Linked DNA regions of Arabidopsis thaliana. The protein of the gene in region 3 purifies or fractionates together with the protein of the main gene of each other region. This does not show direct contact. Each region holds a gene or a part of one and is shown on either strand. Other genes may lie near its edges.

The links.
Region 1: the proteins of AT1G33590 (region 3) and scpl35 fractionate together in Arabidopsis thaliana (co-fractionation; one large-scale study listed by BioGRID). This does not show direct contact.
Region 2: the proteins of AT1G33590 (region 3) and AT1G78820 fractionate together in Arabidopsis thaliana (co-fractionation; one large-scale study listed by BioGRID). This does not show direct contact.

What each region holds. Positions count from the first base shown.
Region 1 is NC_003076.8:2,654,749-2,662,326, reverse strand, and holds scpl35 (serine carboxypeptidase-like 35), read right to left. Parts: upstream 5,274-7,578; 5' UTR 5,092-5,273; coding exon 4,818-5,091; intron 2,893-4,817; coding exon 2,785-2,892; intron 2,684-2,784; coding exon 2,495-2,683; intron 2,366-2,494; coding exon 2,277-2,365; intron 2,168-2,276; coding exon 1,874-2,167; intron 1,771-1,873; coding exon 1,634-1,770; intron 1,504-1,633; coding exon 1,411-1,503; intron 1,314-1,410; coding exon 1,055-1,313; 3' UTR 890-1,054; downstream 1-889. Other genes in the region: AT5G08270 (C5orf35), read right to left, coding at 128-222, 536-580; AT5G08250 (Cytochrome P450 superfamily protein), read left to right, coding at 6,546-7,578. UniProt on the Arabidopsis thaliana protein: Probable carboxypeptidase.
Region 2 is NC_003070.9:29,633,207-29,638,173, forward strand, and holds AT1G78820 (D-mannose binding lectin protein with Apple-like carbohydrate-binding domain-containing protein), read right to left. Parts: upstream 2,726-4,967; 5' UTR 2,563-2,725; coding exon 1,195-2,562; 3' UTR 890-1,194; downstream 1-889. Other genes in the region: AT1G78830 (Curculin-like (mannose-binding) lectin family protein), read right to left, coding at 3,935-4,967.
Region 3 is NC_003070.9:12,175,338-12,180,469, forward strand, and holds AT1G33590 (Leucine-rich repeat (LRR) family protein), read left to right. Parts: upstream 1-2,335; 5' UTR 2,336-2,339; coding exon 2,340-3,884; 3' UTR 3,885-4,291; downstream 4,292-5,132.

The sequences.
Region 1 (7,578 bases), on a different chromosome or scaffold from region 3:
CAACAATTACAGAGACTGACTCTTTGCTTAGTCAATAAATAGACAAGTTGATACTTGATAATCCTACATCCTTGAACATTATAAATCTTGTTCAAAAGCTCTTAATCTATACCAAAAAAATACCAACCTTGTAAACATAAACAATTTGTTAATGTCGGCTTCAAATTGCAGTTGCCTTGGATTCTTAGCAAAAGTGGTACTCTTTGCTAGAACACCAACACCCTGAAAAGAAAATTAAAAGCAAATTCACCATTGAATCAAAATTGACAATGCCTATTATTATCGTATGAGCAACTTCAAATTACATTTTATGGACAGAAAGCAAATCATTGAGAATTCAATCATTTTCAAGTACTCACATATGTTCTGAAGTCTATACAAGCTACAAAATATAGTCACAGGAATCATATTACAGTGAAGACTAAATCCTTTGAAAAGCCTCGAACTTTCTTCATACCCAACATCAAAAAACACGTACCAGAGAGGAAGTTTCAAAAATAAGTCAGATTAGAAGATAAGAACTTCATATATTCACCTGCTGAAATTTTCCGAAAAGAAACATCATTTTTGCAAACGCCATTCTTTTTTCTCCTCACGTTGAAACGACGGGCAGAGAAGAAGATGAATCGCAGGTGCTTCAGTTGAAAGATCTCTTTCGGTGATTGATTCCAAAAAAACGAACGCTACTGCCTCAGCTCCATGACTGGGTTTAATTTGTGTTAATGGGCCTTAATGGCCCTCTAAATTTATAATGGGCCTTAAGGGCCGTCTCCCCCTAATTTATTTCATTCATATTAAAATTAATTTGAAAATTTTCATTGAGTTCCAAAATTAATGAAGTAGACTACTGATTTGTTGATTATTGAAAATTGAAATACTGGAAATTATTAAACAACGAAAAACGTGCGTAGAAAGGTAAAAGCCTTATTATATAACTAAAAGTTGAAGAATCTTTATTCATCAATTGAAATTCATAAAATCAATTGGGAGAGTGCTAAACGAAGGTTCCAAAACAACAACAACAACTTGCCATCATGACTTGACGGTACTGATATCAGAACCGTTTTGAAGGCAAGGGGACAGAAGAAATGAAGTGAGAGAATAATGTGAGAGATTGCGCCGGAGCCAAGGCCGGAACCTGGTGACCGGCTCCTCTCACCGTGACAAAATTTAGTCCACCGGCATAAGTCTCAACCCATCCAGCTACTTGACTCTTGTGGAACCATGACCTCCACGGTGACTCGACCTTAAGTCCCATCTTTTTTATGCTATAACGTGTAGATGTTACCGGAACTCTCCCATCCGTATCTCCACTATAGCCAACATTGAACCAGTGAACATTAAACTAATTGACAATATATATGAATTTTTCACGTAATTTTTAAAACAGTTAAAGAAAGATATAGATACCTATAGATCCAGATACGGAGGCCACCCGTCAAAAGCTTTTGTATGATGGGAATCATGGTGGATGGAGCATCACTCCATCTCTTTATTACTCCGCTGAATCACACCCACAAGATCATATATATATATACTTTGTTCATTAGAAACATGACATTAAACTTAACATACAAAGTCTCTAGCTAGCTATTAATTTTAGTTAGTACCACGTAACGTAAGGAGGACTAACCTGCAAGGAGAGTACGGATAAGGAAGGTTGGTGACGTTCGCATGGAGTGCAACCTGCACATCTTTCCGGTTAAAGTAATTCTCGGCATAACTTTCAGTGCATGGATCGTACCCGGCCGGAAACTTGTCCCACAAATCCTAAACCATCAAAAGAGAAGAATTGGTAAGAAAAAGTAAGAAGAGAGATTATGGTAATTACATTATGTTACAATGATACTATATTGTATTGTAGATTACGTACGTCAAAAGTAAGGAGACGAGGAGACACGACGATTTTAGGTTTTCTTGGAGAAGATGACAACAAAGAGGAGAGGCAAACGGGAGTGTAGATACTGTATATATCGATATCATTGTAAGCATCCATGAACCCTTTGAAATTGTTGTAGCATTGTTCGGTCTTGTTGGTGGTATCTTCCTCAAAACTGCACGAGCCATGGATGCTGGTGTGGACCTCGTCCGATATTATAGCGTGGCTCCATGCGTAGTCCACTAGTCCTGCCATGTCTGTTGCCTCATTGATCACCGCGTTCCCTATCTGCAACATCAAACGAATACCTTTTATGTTTACTTATAGCACAAGAAACGTTGCTTCCTCGTTTCGCAAGTAACCTTACTAGTAGTATACATATATATAGAGTGCATACCATGAATCCCTTGAGATTAATGCTAGAGTCTTTCGTAACCTTCTTGTTCCTGTCGTAAATTACCTCCGCGAGCTGAGGAACATAGTGACCTGAGAAAAGAAGATCAAAAGCATGTGATTCAATCTTTGTTTTATATAATATTAATATACAAGATTAATTCTTTTATATTAGGTGATATAATTCATAAATCAAGAATTAAAATCGGATAAAGCACTTACCGGCGTAACTCTCGCCAGAGATGTAGAACTCGCTGGATCGGAACTCGGGGAATTTCATGAACCAGTTGATCAGGAAAGCAAGAGAGTCCGATGCAGTAACTTCATCTCCAAGCTTTTGAAGATCCATTGAGTTATTGGTATACGAGAACCCAACCCCAACCGGCGCTTCCAAGAACAACATATTGGCCTCTGCACAAACATTTTTTTTAATGTAACCACGGTTAATATTAGTATACATGTTAGCTAAAGAATTCAAATGTTTCTGATAGTATGGTAATAATTCATTTTACCTTTGTTCCAAGAGAAATGATTGTAGGTAAGTTTGCCACCGTTGTCGTGAACAAGAAAAGGGCCTAGTTCTTGTGCAGCTCCATAGGCTATTGATGAGCAACCCGGTCCTGCATATTTTGGATTTTAGTTAAACTGATGAAAATAATTTAAGAGTTTCACCAAATATGTAATAATACAATTCACTAAAGAAAATTGCTATTTTCAATTCCATCGCTAGATTTGTCAAGAAAATCCAAAACTAAACAACTAAATTTGTCGAGAAAAAATAAAATTAATGAGACTAGCTAGCTAGACGTCAGTATTTTGTCCCGAGTTGTCTATCAAGATTCAAATATCATTTTCGTATACAGAAATTAAATAACTAAAGATTTTGCTATTGCTCTTGATTACATTGGATTCGTGTGTACCCTTCAATCACGCAAATCCTATAAAGGTAATACCTCATTATTAACAAATTTCAATCTTTCTGTTCAAACTAGACATGTACACAACTCCACATTATTATTAGACATAGCTTTTTGTTTATTTCTAAGTGTATAATTGAATATTCAACATCTTATCCGATTTCTAGCCCCAATAAAAAAGACTAGGTTGATATTTCTCGTATCCCTAAATATCCTAATATTGGAATGAACCGTGTGGGAAAAAAGACAAACCGTATAAAGTAAATTCGTTAAATTGAATGTACAACTACCGAGAGAAAAAGAAGAAACAGACAAAAGATCTTTACTCACTCTAGAAACAAGATTTGGACATTGAATGTTACACAAAAAGGACACTGATTGAATGATACAAGTCCAATATCTGTCAGAGAGCCGGACCATATACGACTTCGTTGATATTTTTTCCAAATATGTTGTTGGGTTATAGTATAGTGTTTTATTTCACTGAATCTTCACGAAAAAATATGATGTATTTAAACAGGTTAATTTTAATTTTTGTGAATAACTTTTGTTCACTTAATTAGATCGAAGCTCATTTTCAAATACAACTTGTTTTAAGCTATGGTTTTGAGATTTCACGTTAAGAAAACGAGGACTGGACTATATTTGTCCCGAAGAGGCAAGAACCTACTCGTTCCACCGTATACAGACTACAGATTGTTGAAGTGCGTTCCACAAAACGAAATATTATTAAAGTAGGCAATTAAAATTTGTCGGCATTCCCAACTGTATCAGATTTGTTATCACTTCTCCATCAAGCAATAGTAAGGAACAAAAATGTTGAATAGTATCAGTGTATCACTTAATGGTGTTTCTGGCTATTTTTATCAAGCCATACACGGCATCTATAAGTTACAGATTATTAAGAATAGCGATATATAACTGTACAAACAATAGACTACTTTAAGTTTTGGCTATTTGATAGACTTGTAATTTTTGGAAAATTTAAAACAAAAACAACTGCATCGAAACGACCCTTTACTATCTCGTTGCGATACAATTACAGTAAAATTTTATTGTTACTGAAACGAAAGGAACTGCTTGGCAAGTTACAAGGCAGGGTAAGGAGACAGACGATGGAGTTTGGTAGGACAATGTACACAACTTGATGTTTTCTAAGAGTTAGCTATATAAATAATTAAAATTTTAGTCCAAATTCAATTATGTATCCAAGAAAATACAACTGCCGAAAACATTTCTCTATGTTTAGTGTTTTTTCTTTTTCTTTTTCGTGCAAGTTTTATCTATTATTTTCCCAACATCACGGCCTGCAGGCACAGAGTTTTGTGGTCAATACGTGATGGTGTGATTAGACATATGTATTAACCTAATTACCATGGCCCACGAGGCACGAGCTTGAGAGTTCATTAATCTTTCATTACACTGATTTTTTTATTGCAAACATAATCATCACATCATCCGTTTCAAAAAAGGTGCTATCATTTTAAAATTGGTAAACATATTTGTAAAACCGCAGAAACAATGAAGTTTCGAATGAAAATTCCAATTGAGAACAATGATAAGTTTGTATTACTACTTCAAATAAAATATACTTTATGTAAATGAGCGAGAGAGGAAGAGAAACTGACCTCCATTGAGCCAAAGGACGAGAGGACGACGAGAAGAGTTTTGTTGAGCTTCGAAGAACCAATAGAAAAGTGCCTTTTGCTTCTGTTCAGGCCCCAGATTCACGTAACCGGCGTAGTGTTTGAAGTTAACCGGTGGTTGGCCGGGCAAACCGGTTACAAGGTCATCTTCCTTCCTCCCAGAGGATGAAATTGTTACCTTCTTCTCCGGTTTCCTACCACAGGCTATCGCCGGTAACACCAGAATGCACAGTAGCCAAAGTGCGTTCTTCTTCATCGCCAAAACTCTTTCTCGTCTCTTTTGTTTCTTTTGTTCTTTTCAATTATTTATCGAAATGAAGAGCAGATGAGAAAACGCCCCCACTTCTTCTACTTTATACTGTCTTTTTTTATATTAAAAAAAACTTTAAAAGTCTTTTATTTTTCATGAGATTTTTTTTTTGATACTCACGTGAAAATGTTATAACAATAAACACATTTCATAATCATTTCCTTGTAATGTGCCTCCACGGTCTCCGATAACATGGTTGGTTCACTACCAATTTTCTCACCTTTTACAGAAAGATGGAATTGAATTTCAACGCTTGAGATGTCATCATCGGAGACTGAACCACATGGCTATGGAGATGGAGCCATCGGCAAATTAAATGCTTTCTTCTTTATTTTTCTTAATTCAGAATTTCATCTCCCAAAACAAGGTTTTATAAACCATATAATCAAAGTTGAATTCAACACACAAATTGCTCGTACTGTTTAGAAATCAATTAAAATTCATTAAATTACATGTGTAGTACTACCGTAGAGCTTTAAAACAACAGCATTGTCATATAAACAAAGCTTATGTTTTATGTTGATCTCAATGATAATTTCCAAAGAAAGTGGTTTATTCGCAATTGTCTCGGGAATAATTTATTGATGCTATAGTCACCTAGAAGAGGCCAGAGAAATTGGCGGCTTAATGAGAATCATTTATTGATGCTATAGTCACCTAGAAGAGGCCAGAGGGCCTGTAAGGCCCAAAATACATTAATAATGAGGTTAATGAAATTTTATATATATCAAAGGCCCGATACTTTATTGATAGGCCCATATGTTTTCTAAGCCCAAATTGTTCGAAAACAATTATTCACCAGATATATGCAGATAACCTAAATTCAAACAACAACGGCTTCACCGCCAGGTTTAAAATAGTACAGTAGTATCCAAAAAAATTCTGTTTATTTGAATTACTCACTATTAATATTCTTCCAATTCCAATTTCCACACGTATAAATTAAACAAGTTGTTTGACAAAATAAAATAAAGTGTATAACAAATAAACAAGAACTTAGGTGATCCGTCACTACCCACCTGTCAATTTCTCTTTTATCAACAATCCTCAAGTCTAAAACCCTAATTCTAATTTTCCTAATTTTCTAGTTAATCCCCTCCAAAAGATTCGTCCTTTCAAAAGACCAAAACGAAAACATAGCAAAACACGAGAATAAAGAGCCACACAAATTTAAAAGACCGTTAGAAAAGAGCAACGAACTTTTTTTAGCTCACCAAATCAAACCCAATTTCACATTGAGAGCCAAACACGAAACTTATGCGTCTTAAATCCTTCTTCCCTCATTTCACATTCTTCACCTACTAAATTAACTAACAACTTCATTATTTCTTATCTCTCTTTCTCTTTCTCTCTGCAAAAAAATTATACACACTCTGTTTCTTTGTTCCTTCTTTGTCACTATGAATCTTAGTTTTTCTTCTTATAATCTCACGGCTACTGCCGTGTCCTCTTCTTGTTTCGGAAGCGACGAACTTCTGGTTTCAAGGAGGCTGTTTTCCCTGAGAGATGTTCAGATTCTTGAGCTCTTTATTGCCTTTTTCGTGTTTGCGACAATACATTCCTTGCGCCAGAAGAAACACCAAGGGATGCCCGTTTGGCCGTTGGTTGGCATGCTTCCTTCGTTGATATCCGCGGTACGAAGCAACATATACGAATGGCTGTCTGATGTTCTTATCAGCCAAAACGGGACATTCCGGTTTAGAGGTCCTTGGTTTAGCACCCTCAACTGCGTTGTTACCTGCGACCCAAGAAACGTTGAGCATCTTCTCAAGACCCGTTTCTCTATCTACCCAAAGGGTTCTTACTTCCGTGAGACCATGCAAGATCTACTCGGAGACGGGATTTTCAACACCGATGACGGAACGTGGCAACGACAAAGGAAAGCAGCAAGTGTCGAATTCCATTCGGCTAAATTCAGACAATTAACCAGTCAATCATTGCACGAACTCGTGCATAATCGACTTTTGCCGGTTCTAGAAACTTCCGGAAAGATTGATCTTCAGGACATTTTGTTAAGACTAACGTTCGACAATGTATGCATGATTGCTTTCGGGGTCGATCCAGGCTGTCTTAGTCCAAAACTACCCGAAATTCCTTTTGCAAAAGCCTTCGAGGACGCAACAGAAGCAACAGTTGTGAGATTTGTGATGCCTAAATTCGTGTGGAAGCTCATGAGGTCTCTTAATTTAGGAACGGAGAAGAAGCTAAAGGAATCAATAAATGGTGTGGATGATTTCGCTGAAGAAGTAATCCGGACGAGGAAGAAAGAGATGTCTCTAGAGACTGAAATCGCGAAGAGACCTGATCTCTTGACTATTTTTATGGGTCTACGAGACGAAAATGGACAGAAATTTTCAGATAAGTTCTTGCGTGATATTTGTGTGAACTTCATACTTGCTGGGAGAGACACTTCCTCTGTGGCTCTAAGCTGGT
Region 2 (4,967 bases), about 17 Mb from region 3:
TTTAGTTCTTTCTTTTTCAATCAGTAGACCTATCAAATTATTTTCCCTTCCTTTAATTTGTACGATTAGCATTTAAGTATTGTTTACTATTTACTTTATTTAAATATATTTGTTGCTATTAAAATTGTAATTATGTTTCCATTCAGCTTAGCAATCATTGTCAACGAATATTGCCGCCCTATTATGATGCGTAACAAAAGAAAAACAATAATACTGGAATGGAGAAATAACACATAAAGTATAAAGTATGATCTAGTAGAAATACCAATATATTTACGTATAAGAGCGTTTTCTTTGTGCATGGAAATTGGAAACGATGAAAACCAAACAAAAGAAGAATGTGGATAAATCGATAATTAATAGGCCCATAAATAAAGCCCAATGGACCTTAAATTTTGTAAATATGATTCTCTCAAATAGAACCAGACAAATAAATCTATGGAGGTCCCAATCCCAAAGATCCGCGATGGACGCTTGCATTTACTTATTTAAAGTTTTGTCATCTACAGAATTCTAATGTTATTGGAGTGTATTAAATATTTGTTGTCAAAATTAAATAAGATTAAGGATATTCCTTTTTGGCTGCCACTGAGGCACTGACCAATCGTTACTAGAAAATTTCTAATAAACTAGGTGAATATCCATTATTCAAGGGTTGGTTGAATAGTTTTTTCTTTCTAAAATGATAGCATAACTTTTGTGGTTAAAAGAAGTATTCCCTTTGTTTATATTTAAAACAACAATTACCTACCTACTCTCCTAGGATATGATTCTTCCTAATTTTTTATAAATTTGAGTTTTTAATTTTCCTGCAGATACTCATTCAACCAAGAAAAGAAAAATCTCAGTAATCAGTCGTATGCATAGAAAAAATGGTCCCACGGCATAATCATTAACCAACAGAAAATTATGAAATGTGCAACAATATCGAGTTGTCTCATTGTTATTTATACAAAACAAAAGCATTAATTGAATATTGTATAAAGGACGCATTATAATGATCGACTATTAATTTCAATTTTGATAATCTGAAGAACATCAATATCATCCATTTTTATTTTGATAATATCATACTTGACTAGGACTGAGCATAATACGCGAGTCTACGAAAACAAAAACGGTGAAGCATTATAACAACACCAATTATTCATTAAATCTATGAGAATTCACGTTGGTTTCGGTTTATAAATCTCGCTAATATTTGATGTAAGCAACGGAAGAAGTGTTGGCATCTTTGATAAGTGTACCAAGAAGAGGAGCAAGCAAACATTTCTTGTCCTTCTCCTTGTAGAAGTAACCCAAACACTTGCAATCACGATCGCACTTAGCCTTGCAATCGTTCACAGAAGTTGGGCCTTGTCCATCATTAACATACGGCCCAGTAAAATGCTCAACACCGACTATCTTGTAATAATTGACAGCTTTACCCTTGCCTCCGCTGCAAAACTGCGTCGTTTTAGGTGGAGCGCATTTATCACTCCAAGCTAACAGACCTTTCGGTGTAGGGCACCCGACGCACATTCCTCGATCGCAGTAACCGTAATCGCCGCAAAACGTCGGCAAACCGCATTGACGGACGAAGTAATTGGAGAAGAAAGCGAAAGTCTCTTCCCATTCGAGATACGTCGCGGCAGGGAAATACGAGAAGGCCTTGAGGCTACCGTCGGATCCAAGTCTCAGATACGATATCGTTCCATTGTAGTTGATTTTGTTTAAGTTTAAAGTTCCTCCTCCGCTTCCGATTGGTCTAACTTGGAGTAACCGGCGGTTATTACCCGGGTTCGTAGCGGGTTGTGGTGCGGGTTCTAAGAGAAGCTCGTAAGCTGACGGCTCCGTTAAATTATCGAACTCTCTTGTAACGGCGAACGTGACGGTACCGCGGAAGTCGTGATCCGTCCATCCCCCGTAAACTAACGGCGTACCGGTTTTGTTAACGTACATGGTTAAGCCTTTGTTGTCCAACACCATGCTGTACGGACCATCGGAGCCGTTCATATCAGATGTACGGCTAACGAGTTTGTTAACTCCGTTAACTTTTAGGGATTGGCCGACGAGGAGTGTATCGGTGGGATGATCGAAACTCTGCCAAACGAATTTTCCATGTTTGTCGTGTAGCACCATGTTTCCATTGGGCAAGATTTGGAATCCGGTGACGCCTTTGTTGGCTGTGTTAGTCTGCCACTTGACTTGGCCGTTTAACTCAGCGAGCACAAGGTTTCCGTTTCGGCCGAATGAGAGTGTGGAGTTGTCTCCGACGGGGTTGTTGCGATTGGCGTCCCAGATCCAACGCGTGAAACTCATGTCACGCCTCGTTCCGACTCGGAGAGCTAACACGTAGGCGCTAGGAGTTGTATTGTAAAACATGAGCTGGAAAGGAATTGTGAAGAAATTCTGATTCGGTGAGTTGAGGAATCGGTAACTCGCGTCGTACTCGGTGATGTATGGGGCGTAGCCGGGTTCGTTGAGCACTCTGAATTGTTTCTCGGGAGGGACTTGGGCCATGACAACCGAAACAGTTGAAATGGCAAGTGCCGTGATTAGTAAGTAATCAAACCTAAGCATGGTTGTGTTCTTTATGTTTACTGAGATTGAGTAGTAGAGTGAGATGATTTTCTATATCCTTTAGGTGTATATATAAGATCTTAACTTTGGGTCGTTGGGCTGTATTCGTTTGAAAGTCCTAAGTTTTTTTTTTTTTTTTTTTTGAATGGTCCTAAGCTGCAAATCGTGTCTTCGTTATACAGATCAACCAATGGCTCATTTATGATTTGGATAAGATATGTCTACTGAGAATTTTCGAAAATTATCGTATATACAAAAGTTGTGAGTAAAACACTAATTATATATATTGTTGTTAATCCGTTTTTATTACACAAATTTTGTATAACTAATCTCATGAAAATTGTTCAGACAAAGTTGACCATCGTTTTTGACAAAAGAAAATTTAGATTCTCCAATCGGATTCATACTTTAAACACTTGTTTTTAAATATAGAATGTACTCGTTTAAATACTTTAAACTGTAAAAATATATCTAAAAATCCTTTCAAGATTGCAATCTACCCGATCACCATTTTGATCTCTACTCAAATTAGTGAATATTTGGATAACTAAGTACCCACACTTCCCAAACTAGCTATATAAATTTCTCGATTTTACCGTCTTGTATGTAAATATACTTCATAAAGTAATTTTATATATTCTAAAGTCTAGACTACACATTCCACCTTTATCTGACCCGCCACTAGACTGTCGTATATATATATACAAATTTCCGAGATAATGCTAACAGATATAAAAACATCTCCGCCAGCTTTAACAGTAAAAAAATTAAAACTCACAATAATCATCTTGTGATGATCGAATCTTTTATGTAAGTTCAGACATCCAAAACAGTACTGTGAGTCAGATTTTGATGGTTGATGGATGCATAGCTGCTGGGCAAGCTTTCACTTTTTATCCCATGTAATGCTAAAAAGTAAAAAGTAAGACCACAAAACTTGTAAAAAATATGTACGAAGGGAAGTGGACCACACGGTTTGTCCGATTAAGATAGAATTATTGGGCTATGACAAAGCCTAAAGGCCCAATGAGTTGGAGAAGTGACAAAATTTTTGCTGTTCTTTTGACAGTATGAGTCCCAACGACCATCTACAAACCTCAGTAGTCAATTGAATTAAGAACCAAGTGAGCGGTATTCCAAGTGGAGGACCAGTGGACTACAAAACTCTTGTCAGAGGCAACAAAATAATGATAATGCTTCACATGGTATTTTGATTCTCAAAGGTACTATATATATATAGTAAATACATCTGATGGCTTTTTTTTAAGGTAATACAATATATTCAACGGTGGATCATTACAAGCACACCGATTATTCATTAAATCTCTAAGAATTCAAAAAGAATTCGGTAAATAACTTTCCCAAAAAAACACTAATATTTGATGTAAGCAACAGAAGAAGTGTTGGCATCTTTGATAAGTGTACCAAGCAGAGGAGCAAGCAAACATTTCTTGTCTTTCTCTTTGTAGAAGTAACCCAAACACTTGCAATCACGATCGCACTTGGCCTTGCAATCGTTCACAGAAGTTGGGCCTTGTCCATCATTAACATAAGGCCCAGTAAAATGCTCAACACCGACTATCTTATAATAATTGACAGTTTTACCCTTGACTCCGCTGCAAAACTGCGTCGTTTTAGGTGGTGCGCATTTATCACTCCATCCGAGTAATCCTTTTGGTGTAGGACACGCGTTGCACATCCCACGATCGCAGTAACCGTAATCGCCGCAAAACGACGGCAAGCCACATTGACGGACGAAGTAAGTGGAGAAGAATGAGAAACTCTCTTCCCATTTGAGATACGTAGCTGCTGGGAAATACGAGTAAGCCTTGAGACTCCCGTCAGATCCGAGTCTTAGATACGAAATCGTTCCGTTGTAATTGATTTTGTTCAGATTTAAAGTTCCTCCTCCGCTTCCGATTGGTCTGACTTGGAGTAACCGGCGGTTATTACCCGGGTTCGTAGCGGGTTGTGGTGCGGGTTCTAAGAGAAGCTCGTAAGCTGACGGCTCCGTTAAATTATCGAATTCTCTTGTAACGGCGAAAGTGACGGTGCCGCGGAAATCGTGATCCGGCCATCCGCCGTAAACTAACGGCGTACCGGTTTTGTTAACGTACATGGTTAAACCTTTTTTGTCCAGCACCATGCTGTACGGACCATCTGAGCCGTTCGAATCAGATGTACGGCTAACGAGTTTGTTGACTCCGTTAACTTTTAACGATTGGCCGGTGAGGAGTGTATCGGTGGGGTGATCGAAACTCTGCCATACGAATTTGCCGTTTTTGTCGTGTAGGACGATGTTTCCGTTGGGTAAGATTTGGAATCCGGTGACGCCTTTGTTAGCTGTGTTAGTCTGCCATTTGACTCGTCCGTCAGCTTCAGCGAGGACGAGGTTGCCGTTACGG
Region 3 (5,132 bases):
CTAGGACAAGTATCCCTCAGCTCATACTCCTTTCTGTATAAGATGCAATCATTCGGACAAGCGTGAATGATATCATACCCAAAACCAAACATCTTCAAGAATTTTTTGATCTCATTTGTTGAAGTTAGAAGCACATTCTCTCCTGGTAAGATGTCGTGCACTAAACTCAAAAGTTGATCAAAGTAATTCTCAGACATCCCACTCTTTACTTTAATGCGGTAAAGCCTCATAATTGCAGACACCTTTGTGTACTTGGGACACCCATAATATAATGGAGTTTCAGCATCCTTCAACTTCTCTCTAAAGTCAGATTCTTCTTTAGTTGATGGCTCCTTACTATCATTTTCATTCTGATTCTGAGAATCAGAATGGTCTTCTCCATCAAAATAAGCTGTTCTTATCAACTCATAAGCTCCAAATTCACTACTAGACTCAGCTTCTAACTTATCAGCCCGTATCTCCCCATGCTTACTCCAACATCCATTTCTCTTGTATTTATGATTCATTCCTTTAATAACCAGATGTTCCAAAACAGTATCAATTGGTTGATGACACAGATTCCGGCAATCCGTACATGGACAAAACATTTCAGAAGGATCTCCCAAACGTCTCGATGATGCGTAAACAAATTTTGTTGCTCCTTTCTCGTACTCAATGCTATTCCTTGGCAGCCATACCCAACTCTTATCCATTTTTGAAACACCAACAAGCTCCAACCCCATATATATGATAATATTTATATATATATATATATATATATATATATATATATATTAGTTAACAGAGATACAAGAACAAAGACACAAAGAGAAATTTCAAAAACAAAAATTCAATACTATCAAAGCTATATTGAATACAAGAACCACATAAACTCAAAGCTACACGTATACTAAGAACCACAGAAATTAACTCAATTCGATACAAGTGAATCACATAAATAGTCAAGTTCCATTGGATACAAGTGAAAAGTCACAGAAATAGTCAACTTCTAATCGATACAAGTCAATAGTCACTGAAAATAGTCAAGTTCTAATCAATACAAGTGAATACAAGCTATCAAAGCTATTTGAAACTCAATTCGATACAAATGAATGCTCACTATCAAAGCTATATGAAACTCAATTCGACACATGAGAATAGTCAAGTTCAAAGCTATATGAAACTCAAAATCGATCTAAGAACCACAGAAATCGATCTAAATAACATACTTGTCAAAGAGAAGCCACTGAAATCTTTGAGAAACGCGGATAGCGAAAGCCCCAAATCGAAACCCCTAAATCTGAGAAACCTGAAAATCAAACCCTAAATGTGATTAAAACCCCAAATCGAAACTCAAACCAGACAATTTCACAATGCAAACCCTAAATCGATTACAAAAGAAACATAACCTTCTCGATTTAGAACCAGATCTGTGACTGAGAAGCTGAAGAGTACCAAAAGAGATTGAGGCGTTGAGCAAGAACACGAACAGAGACGGGAGAGAGACAGACAGCTGAAGAACACGAACACAAACAGAGAGAATTGAAAAAGAGAATTGAAAGAGATGAAGAACAGTGAGATGAAAAACAGTGAGAACACGAACAATGTTTTTTGGCCTTAGAAAAAAATTTCGGGGTTAAAAGTCACCAAATATTTTATTCTCCAACGAGCAAAAAAATTTCATTCCGCGCTACTATATTAGGTAGCGGTTTTTGTAAATTAGTGCTATCGAATAATAACCCCTAATCTAAAAATATTGACCCGAGTCATTTTATTTCCCGGGGTAAGATAGTATAACGTTTTGAAAACCAAACGTTATAACGTTTTAGCTGGTTAGTAAATTATAGCAGAACACGATTAACTGCTACAATATAATATTATAAATGCTCAATATTCTTCTAGTAATTTTAATATTAATAAGGAGGTCTTGTATAAACTGATTGTTTCCTGGAAGTGTTATTGCATCGCCAAAAACAGTTGGCGGAAGTCCAGCCCAGTCATGTATTGGAACATCAATTACTCTGTTCTTGCTGTTAGAATCGTTTGGCTCTTGAGTCTATGACAGTTTCTTTTGTCGGAAATGTTGTGAAAAATAAAAATACTATGACTTACTGGAGTTTCAAAATATAACCAAAAAAAACGAAAATATATTATAAGAAGTCTGAAAAAAGTAGAATTTTGTTTTTAGCAAAACATTAAGACGTGTTAATTGTCAAGAGAAGACCTATGCATATATAATAGTCAAGAAAAGACAAACTATAATAAAAATCTAATGAAACTGTCTTTTTCAAGTGTGTCGGGGAAAAATGATAAATTCGACCACGATTACGGATACCACTAATAATTATGGTCACATGCAGATGCAAATGGATTGGTCAAAAACGTCAACTTTGACTTCGCAGCTCTCAAGTAATCTTTTCCCCACTACTAATAGCTCTCTTCTCTCAATCAACACAACACAATTCACCACCATGAACTCTTCCTTTACTCTCTTCATCTTTACCTTCGTCATCTTCCTCCAATGTCTAAATCCCACCGGAGCTGCCACGTGTCATCCTGATGATGAAGCGGGTCTTCTAGCTTTCAAAGCGGGTATAACCCGAGATCCTTCGGGTATTCTCAGTTCTTGGAAGAAAGGTACCGCTTGTTGTTCTTGGAACGGTGTCACTTGTCTCACCACTGACCGTGTCTCTGCACTCTCTGTCGCTGGACAAGCCGATGTTGCTGGAAGCTTCCTCTCCGGCACTCTCTCGCCGTCGTTGGCTAAACTCAAGCACCTTGATGGGATTTACTTCACCGATCTCAAGAACATCACTGGTTCTTTTCCTCAATTCCTTTTCCAATTACCAAATCTTAAGTACGTATACATTGAGAATAACCGTCTCTCTGGTACTCTTCCGGCTAACATCGGTGCGCTAAGCCAGCTTGAAGCGTTCAGCCTCGAGGGAAACCGGTTCACCGGTCCGATCCCGAGCTCGATATCTAATTTGACTCTGTTAACTCAACTCAAACTCGGCAATAATCTCCTAACCGGAACTATACCGTTAGGGGTCGCTAATCTCAAGCTCATGTCGTATCTCAACCTTGGAGGTAACCGTCTCACTGGAACCATTCCAGATATTTTCAAATCCATGCCAGAGCTCCGATCTTTAACTCTCTCCCGCAACGGATTCTCCGGGAATCTTCCTCCGTCCATTGCATCACTCGCACCGATTCTTAGGTTCCTCGAGTTAGGCCATAACAAACTCTCCGGGACGATTCCAAACTTTTTATCAAACTTCAAGGCGCTCGACACATTGGATCTCTCCAAGAATCGGTTCTCGGGTGTCATACCGAAGAGTTTCGCCAATCTGACCAAGATATTCAATCTTGATCTCTCCCATAATCTTCTAACCGATCCATTCCCTGTCTTGAACGTTAAAGGCATTGAATCTTTGGATCTTTCTTACAACCAGTTTCACTTGAATACGATCCCGAAATGGGTGACTTCGTCGCCGATCATCTTCTCGTTGAAGCTAGCAAAATGCGGGATCAAGATGAGCTTAGACGATTGGAAGCCAGCGCAAACATTCTACTATGATTTCATCGATCTGTCGGAAAACGAGATCACAGGGAGTCCAGCAAGGTTCTTGAACCAAACAGAGTATCTAGTGGAGTTCAAGGCAGCGGGTAACAAACTACGATTCGATATGGGGAAGCTAACGTTTGCAAAGACGCTGACAACTTTAGATATATCAAGGAACTTGGTATTTGGGAAGGTGCCGGCAATGGTGGCTGGACTAAAGACATTGAACGTGAGTCACAACCATCTTTGTGGAAAGCTTCCAGTAACAAAGTTCCCGGCCAGTGCGTTTGTGGGTAATGACTGTCTTTGCGGCTCTCCTCTTTCTCCTTGTAAAGCTTAAGCGGCAAGAAAGCTACAACTGGTAGTTGGATATTTACCGTGACCAATAAAGTTTAGCTCCAAATAAAATTTGTATTAAAAAGATTACAACAAATAAAGTAGTTTTATGTTATGAAGAAGCTTCATTCTAACAATATGTATTAGTGAAAGTACTCAAAGTAGTATTTAAGTTCTCAACTATTATGCATTTTTTATATAGCAGCTAAAATATTACTTTAACATGATAGAAAAATGATTTTAAAAAATAGAAGGAAAAACAGAGTAGTATTCTGATACAACATGCTCCAATTTATGTAACTTTTGCTTATATATTAAACTGATTATGTAGTATGCAACTCTTGGCTAATCTGTTCTCAATTCAGAATAGTCGCAACAAATGATGCAGTAAATAATCTATGTTTACTGGAATTTAACTCGCTCTATACAAAAAAAGAAAGAAAGTTATAGTGATATCTTATTTAGAACTATGCGTAATTTATTATTCTTCAGTGTTCTATAATTGGTTAACAAAAACCTAGTGATGAAAACAAGAGGAGTCCTTACTAGATAGATGCATATAACTTCATCACTACAAAATTTATTTGATCACAAATAACACATACCAAACAACAAACCAAGTAATCGATATATACTAGTATCAAACCTCTTTTTTCTCTTTACATACACATAACACAAGGTCATCCACAGGACATATAGCGTCTGCATTGAGGAATTAGACCATCTCTGAAGTAGGTTTCAACTTAGTATTGTTTTTTTTTTTGTCTAAAACACTAAAGTTCGATTAGACTAATGCATCCATATTCAATGAGACAAAGACATAGTAAACCAACCTAGAAAAATTATTCAAAAACTATACAAAAAAAGATAGTTTGAGTAATTGGTTCTTCCAAAACAAGACTAATGCATGCAGCATCTTAAAACTTCACCACCATAAACGAAAATTGAGTAATTGGTTCTTCCAAAACAAGCTAAGATTCCACTATAATTTCTTACGATAAACAAATAGATAAAGCTACTTATGTTAATGTTGGATTACGCTAAGAAAATTAAGGCATGAATCTATCGGCCCATCTCGAGGCCAACTTAGTCCACAATCTGGATCATTGTACTTAGATATATTTGACTTTTATTTTGTGGTCAATAATGTACATATTGTTAGACAAAAATAACATGTTAATAAATATTTTTTTTTTTTCAAAAATAACGTACATTTTGAGAAAACATAAATGAAATTTCTTTCCAAACTAAG